Caenorhabditis elegans: one gene and its partner. The protein of the gene in region 1 purifies or fractionates together with the protein of each later gene. This does not show direct contact. Each region holds a gene or a part of one and is shown in the gene's direction. Other genes may lie near its edges.

Region 1 (3,754 bases):
TGTAAATAAAGATCAGTCATTGACTGGTAAGACTTATATTGGAATTATATCTATCTAAAGTCAAAATTTTCAGTTTCGATGTTCGCCACGTTCTCAGAGTTCGAGTCTAATTTGGTTGGTCCCGTAGAATCTGTTTTGTTTTTTAAGAACAATTTTTATGAAATCTTCAAGATTCTTGGAGAGTGAGTGGCTTCATTTTTCCTTGTTGTTTTCGAACGAATATTATTCTAGAGATCACATCAGAAACACAATTGCCAGAAACAAACCGCAGGCAATTATAAGTGTTCAATGCTCACAGCACGTCTTCTTCGACAAATTGGTATTGATGGGCGATGCAGCACATGCAATGGTTCCATTCAATGGTCAAGGTGTCAATTGTGGATTTGAGGATTGCCTTGTGTTGCAGGAAATTATGGATCAATATGAGGAAGATGAATTGGAAGATGTTATCAAAGAGTATTCAAAAGTTAGAACAAATGAGACGAATATCATTAATCAAATGGAATGGGATGTCAATTTAACGGTTAGATTTCTACATTTTATATTTCTTCGGGTGCTCATCTTGTAAGTAAGATTCTTGATTCTATATTGATAAGTGTCAAAATTCTACGAAAACATAAATACACAGTTCTGAAACATAATACTTTTACTATAGCGAGATTTCATGTTACTTGATAATTTTTGTTACAGCTCACGAGTTCCGTCCATGGCAGCCTGGGATGGATTCGAGAAATACGTGCACACATAAAACTATTGTTATGCTTCATTTTCCCATCATCGTTCACATTGGCAGCCTTCTCTCGGGAGAAATACTCTGAAATTGCCAGAAAAGCACAGATCGTCGAGAAGTGCACATCCTTATTCACAAACGTTTTCATTGTTTTCATAATTTCTGTCATTAGCCTCTTTTGGTATTGTGTGTTGGCAGTTTTATGGGCGAATTGACACCAAGATATACTCTACAGTACTCGGATACTGTAGAGGAAATCTTCAAGCATACTGTCTGCAATGTGCCGTCGTTTCTGGTGTTTGCGTCCAAGAAGTCTCGTGATTTAAAAACAAGTACCGATATTTTAAAAACGATTTTCTTTGCTGAATAAATATATTTATAAATACTGTTTTTCAGACATTTATTGAATTAAAATCCGTTTTTTCCTTAAATTTATGAAATTCCCCAATACGAACTATGTATTCTCTCGTTGCTCACTATGAAACCCACTTGAATGTTCCACCTTGCCCACCGAAATCGATTTTTTTTTTAATTTTTTTTACATCAGTGCAAACATTAACAGCTGTCTAGTGCACACTCAGACCGGTCGGTTCTGCTGCTATGCAGTAATATCTGTTTGCTCACCGATCATCAGTTTTATTATTTTCAAAAAAGAAACAGCATTTAAAACGGGAATTTGTTTTTTTCAACGTATAGGCCAAACACTGAATAATTTGGTTTTGTTATAATTGCTCTTCTACGCTGTGAGTCATCAATCGATAACCGCTCCGCAACCGCAATTGCCGTTCGTACTCTGCCACGCGACTTTCCCATCTGCTCTTCTTCTCTCACTCTCTTTCCCCCTCACTCTCTCTCTCACATTTTCGTTCATTCTATTCACCATCTTGTTACACTCATATCGTCTTATATTTTTCATTGTCTGTTCTTTTCTTTCTAAAAACAGTTTATTTTCAGTTTTATCCGCATTCTTCATATCGTTCATCGAAATGGCTGAAAAAATCAACATGTCTCTGGATGAAATCATCAAGCATGGCCAGAAAAAAGTGAAGTCCGAGCGAGTATCTGCACCAGCAGGAGCATCTACTAGCAACAAAGCTGGAAACAAACCCGTGAGTTTTAAAATAAAATAAGCAACTTTTAAGAATAAATAATTTTTATAGACTCGCCCAGGAAATGCCGGAAGAAACAACCGCAGAGTCCCACCAAGAAAGAGTGCTCAAGTTGTTTTGGCGAACAAGGTTTTGAAGAAATCGAAAGCAATTGCTGCTCGTCGTGCAGCTGGAGGTCAAAAACGCGTTTTCGGTGCCCGTGGAAAACCTGCTGCGGCTGCAGGATTGAGCGCTGTTGCCACCAAGAAGCTGGTTAATAAGCTCGTCAAGGTAAATCTTGTTTATATAATTCATTCTAATAAACCATCACATTACAGAATGCCCTTCGCAAAAGAACCAATATCACGACTGTTCCAGTCGTTCGTAAGCGTGGAGTACGTTTTTACCAGATTTTGTTCTATAGTTGAATATCGAGCTTTGAAAAATGGATTCTTGAAGTGAAATCTGGATACCACACGCATTAAGCGTTGTAGTAAAAGGCTAAAAATCAGGTCGAGAGTTTGATTTATTCCTCTCGTGTCGCGATAGAACCTAGACGTTCTTCGTGTTTTTTGAAACCGCGATGAATAGTTGGAAATACGATCATCCACTATTGAAAACCTGATAGAAAGCCAGGCTTCTGCCAAAAAATCAGAACAGATGGTCTCAATTTGTGTGAAGTTCCTTCCGGAGAGACAGACAGCAACTTCTCCTCAGCTTCTTCAGCGTGTCGAGAGTTCTTCCAATCTTTCACGGAGGTAAGGTAAATGATTTCAGGGTGTTGCTGCTTCAACTCTTGCCGCCAGACGAAATTTTGCATTGAAACGAAATGTCACTGCTGCCCAAGTGATTCAACCTGTGAGAACAATCATCCAACAGAGACCAATAACGGCTCCTGTTCGTACTATCGTACAGCATGTTCGTCAAGCTCCAGTCAAAGTTGTTCGCCAAATCATCACTGCTCCTGTGCAATCTCAAGTGATTCGTAGAGCACCGCAACAACAAGTTCGTCAGAACCGTCCACAGCAGAGACGCAATGTGATTATTCAATCACAGCAATCGAGAAGATTCCGTCCAACAAACAACAACAATAATAATCGTCCAACAGTCATTCGTCGTCAAGTCGTTCAACAAGTTCCAAGACGCGCTCAAGTTCAAAGACCACAGGTAAAAATTCATTATTATTCAGTATCCAGTGTCAGAATTATATTGTTCGTTTTCAGTATGAGCAGGTCGTGCAAAGAGTAATCCAGACTCCAGTGGCTCAGCAACGTTTCCAACGCCAGCCACAACGCTTCCAGCAACAGCAACCTCGTTTCCAGCAACAACCCCCGCGCTTCCAGAGACAGCAGCAGCCACAACAACAGCAAGTTGTGAGAAGCGTCAGATATGTGAATGCAAGACCACCTGTTCAGAGAAACAATGTTGTTCGTCAAGTGAGTATTCAAACTTTTATTTGCTAGAATTGAATTAAAGATTATGATTGAGTTTTACAATACTAGCCACCAATTGGATTAATATTATGAAACATAAATCTTAGGAATCTGTGGTGACCAATATATTGGTTTTTCAGGTTCAGCCAGTTCAATATCGTCCAGTCCAATACGTCACTGATCAGGTTGTCAACTCTCGTGGTCGTGGATTCCGTGCCTTCTAATTTCATCAACTCGTACACAATCAAGGATACTCAGAAGCTGCGTAGTTGTCTACACACCTTGCTTCATTTTATAAATTTATAATTCCTTCTTCCATAAACACCATGTTTAATAAAATACTCCGCCATACTCATTCTATTCACATCCAACAATAAACATGTTGCGTGTCTATCGAAATTAGTTACTTCTCTTATGTCTACAATAAGTTCAGTTGGATTTATTTCAACATTTCAGATGACATCCCGTAACAGGGTGCGAACAAGTTCTAATAGGTAAGAGAC
Region 2 (3,754 bases), on another chromosome or scaffold:
AAATAAACAATATTTATTTTTAACAATTAAATATTATTCAGGGACGAATGGAACCGCGAAAATCTACCAGCCCAACTTACCCAAATTGTACGTGAATGGCAAACAGCTGACGATTCGAACAATACAATTGTTAATGGAACCCTCAACAAATCGAATGGAAATCTTGCCAATGGACACTAAATGATGTCCCATCCTCCTCTTCCAATCTACCTCCGTTTATCGATTTTATAATTTCAAACTGAAATCCGTTTTATCATAATTTCCACCAGTTTTCCTCTTGTCAAAAACCCCTTTGTGCGAAAGAAAACTTTCAAAATAAGTGCGGCTACCGTGATACTCACCTATTTTTCTTTGTCCATTTTTATTCAAATTAAATCTCTACCATAATTAATTCCCCTCCAATTTATTCGAGTGAGCATTGCCTGCCTCTCGGGTGTATTCACGTGCCCTTCTATTATTTCATTAATCTTTTCCATTATCTTTAACCTGGTCTTTCGAAAATGAGTAAATTGTGAATCATTCGATGTTTAATGCTAATACCTATTTTTGTTTTAATGATCCGTTTAACTTCGGATATTTATATATTTTCGATTTTATTTTAAATTTATAATATATTCAATCATCTAAACTTTTTCTTTCAGATGGACTTTCAGAACAGAGCTGGAGGAAAAACGGGAAGCGGAGGAGTGGCTTCGGCCGCCGATGCTGGTGTTGATCGACGGGAACGGCTCCGCCAGTTGGCTCTAGAGACAATTGATCTTCAAAAGGATCCGTATTTCATGCGAAATCACATTGGAACGTACGAATGCAAGCTGTGTCTTACTCTTCACAACAATGAAGGATCTTATTTGGCACATACACAAGGAAAGAAGCATCAAGCGAATCTTGCACGGCGTGCCGCTAAAGAACAATCTGAACAACCATTTCTACCAGCTCCACAGAAAGCTGCAGTTGAAACTAAAAAGTTTGTGAAAATCGGACGTCCTGGATACAAGGTAACAAAAGAACGTGATCCAGGAGCTGGCCAGCAAGCACTTCTCTTCCAAATTGATTATCCGGAGATTGCTGACGGTATTGCGCCACGTCATCGATTTATGTCTGCTTATGAGCAAAAGATTCAGCCTCCAGACAAGAGATGGCAATACCTCTTGTTTGCTGCTGAGCCGTATGAAACGATTGGATTCAAAATTCCATCAAGGTGAGGCTTTACAACATTTTAGCACTTTTCTATCTCATAGTTACGATTAAAAAAATTGTATATACCAAGTAATTTTTTCCAGAGAAGTTGACAAATCTGAAAAATTTTGGACGATGTGGAACAAAGACACGAAGCAATTCTTCTTACAAGTCGCATTCAAATTGGAACGACTCGATGATCAGCCGTACTATTGATACTCTATGTTTTTATCTTTTTGATTTCAAAATTCAAAACAATTTTTTCGTGTTTTTCGATGATCTAACAATAAATTATTTTCCTTTTTTTTAATGATGATATTTTATTTAAATCAAGTATAGGTTGACTGATCCGTCTACAATGTCTATTCAATTAAAATTATAGTTTTCATAGTTTAAAAAATCAGTTTCAGATGGCGAAGAAGGTTGTCAAAAGAAAAGCTGAAGCAGTGTCCGCTGACGCAGAAGCCGTTGCAGAAGCTCCGAAGAAAATCAAGAAGCAGAAACCAAGTCTTCCAGTCTCTGAACCTGATAATTATCAGGCTGGTGGATTATCAAGTCTCTTCGGAAAGTCGTCAGAAGGAGCAGCAGTACAAGAGGAAGTTGTGAAGGGAGATAAAGTAATTGAAAAACCTAAAAGAAGAAAGTATGATCCAAAAAAAAAGGCTGAAGAAGAGAAGGCAGCTGATGCTGCTGCTGCTGCTGAAGAAGTTGCACCTGAAACAGAAGGAGAAGAGAAAAAAGATGAAAATAAGGAAGGAAAGCGAGACAGAACGAAGCAAAGAGAGAATAGAACTCTTCAAAAGTCAAATGCACGTGCTTCAGCTGCTGAAAATGCTCTGACTGTTTTTGTTGGAAATATGCCATTGACAATGAACGAGAAATCAGTCCGTCGAATTTTCTCCGACTTTGGAACTATTTCCTCTGTCCGTATGAGAAATCTGCTTCCTGCGAATGAGAAATTGACGAAACGAGTCACTCATTTGACAGGAAAATTGAATGACAAACAGAGTTCTCTCACGTTCTATGTGAAATTCGGAGCAGAAGAATCAGTGGAGAAAGCTCTGAAGTACAATGGAACCAAGCTGGACGATCATGTGATTCGTGTTGACAAAGTTGGAAGTAAGAAGAAAGAATTTGGAAAGGATATGGCCATTTTTGTTGGAAACTTGCCGTTCGAGATTACCGAAGATGCTCTCATTACTTTTTTCTCTGCACAAATCGGACCTGTCGAGGCTGTCAGAATTGTCAGAGATAAAGATACTGGAAAGGGAAAAGGATTCGCGTTTGTCAATTTCAAACAAGATTCTTCTGTGAGTCTTGCATTGAGCATGGAGACTATCAAAATGGAAAAACGCGACTTGCGCATTACAAAAGTTATGAAGAAGGGACATTTGACGGTTTGTTTTTTTTCTTCGAATAGTTCTTCAATTTATAATTTGTTTTTCAGAAGATCCAAACTGCTAAAAAGCGAACATCTCACGGAAAGAAGAACCAGAATGAAATTACTGGAAAATTGCACAAGTTCAAGTTCTCCACCAAAAAAGAAAGGTTTGTAAATATGTGGCATTTTGTCAAAGGGCCCGCGCGCGCAATGTCATTGCCCGGTTCTTCTCTATTTAAATCGTTCAGCGTAGCGCAGTTGGGTGTGCGTTTGTACTCGAGGTCGGCGCCCACGAGTTCGACCCCCACTGCTTGCACGACTGCAACCTGCTTTCGGAACTTTACCGTCTGCGGTACTTGTAGTGCTATATGAGCGTGGGCCCTCCGTGTGCGTGTAATTTAATTGAACTAGCACTCCGTTGGTCACCGGATAATTTTGTTTTTCTTTTCAGAACAACTGAGCAAAATGATCGTCGTGCCTTGAAGAAGTCAGCGAAGAAAGCCATTGCAAAGAAGAAGGCTGCAAAGAAGGGACGTCTGATGGCATAGGTTTTTGAATATTTTGTTTTCATCTATAACTTTGTTGATTTGTTTTGTTTTGTTATTTTTATCACTATAAAAACAGTTTTTTAAATCTAATATTTTATTCATCAAACAAAAAACTATCACAGAGAAAAATACAATAAATGCAAAAATTACTCACAGAGAGGGAAGAAGGCAATAAATGAAAAACACCCATGAAGAACAAGGAAGCAAAATGAAGCGAAAGAAAACATAAACGAGAGTAGTCGAAACTAGAGATCCAAGAAATACATAATTAATGAATGTTAATAAAAAAGGAACCCAAAAATCTATTTATGCCATTGATTCTTTGTCCATGGCTGGTTTTGAAGAATGTACATTTGATACAGGGGGCGGAGCAACTACAGTAACCTCAGTCGGCTCATCATCGTCACCATCGTCCCAGTTTCCGTAGCTGGCAACTTCTGCTGTTCGAGTCTTGTTCAATCGATCGTTCAACTCTTTCAATGCTTTTTGTCTGAAAAAATTAGCATTTTAACTGGAACAAATCAAAGAAATCAAATATTTACCTCCGTCTCTCCGAGTCTTTTGCAGAATTCTCCAGCGCAGGCAAGTTGATTCCAACGGATCCTGATTGTAGAGAGTGAAGATCAACATGACGAACTTGTCGTTTGCA

The links. The genes of interacting proteins can lie anywhere in the genome.
Region 2: the proteins of pqn-53 (region 1) and rbm-34 fractionate together in Caenorhabditis elegans (co-fractionation; one large-scale study listed by BioGRID). This does not show direct contact.

The regions. Positions count from the first base shown.
Region 1 is NC_003283.11:12,063,322-12,067,075, reverse strand, and holds pqn-53 (Prion-like-(Q/N-rich)-domain-bearing protein), read left to right. Parts: upstream 1-1,684; 5' UTR 1,685-1,716; coding exon 1,717-1,839; intron 1,840-1,890; coding exon 1,891-2,109; intron 2,110-2,156; coding exon 2,157-2,213; exon of another isoform or gene 2,214-2,595; coding exon 2,596-2,985; intron 2,986-3,041; coding exon 3,042-3,254; intron 3,255-3,391; coding exon 3,392-3,475; 3' UTR 3,476-3,644; downstream 3,645-3,754. Other genes in the region: kmo-2 (FAD-binding domain-containing protein), read left to right, coding at 1-26, 74-182, 232-523, 691-945; clh-6 (Chloride channel protein), read left to right, coding at 3,708-3,745.
Region 2 is NC_003282.8:12,083,837-12,087,590, forward strand, and holds rbm-34 (RRM domain-containing protein), read left to right. Parts: upstream 1-1,583; 5' UTR 1,584-1,586; coding exon 1,587-2,573; intron 2,574-2,623; coding exon 2,624-2,724; intron 2,725-2,872; exon of another isoform or gene 2,873-2,992; intron 2,993-3,008; coding exon 3,009-3,105; 3' UTR 3,106-3,187; downstream 3,188-3,754. Other genes in the region: lex-1 (Tat-binding homolog 7), read left to right, coding at 42-180; repo-1 (Splicing factor 3A subunit 2), read left to right, coding at 642-1,198, 1,281-1,392; F11A10.6 (Transmembrane protein 115), read right to left, coding at 3,412-3,595, 3,648-3,754.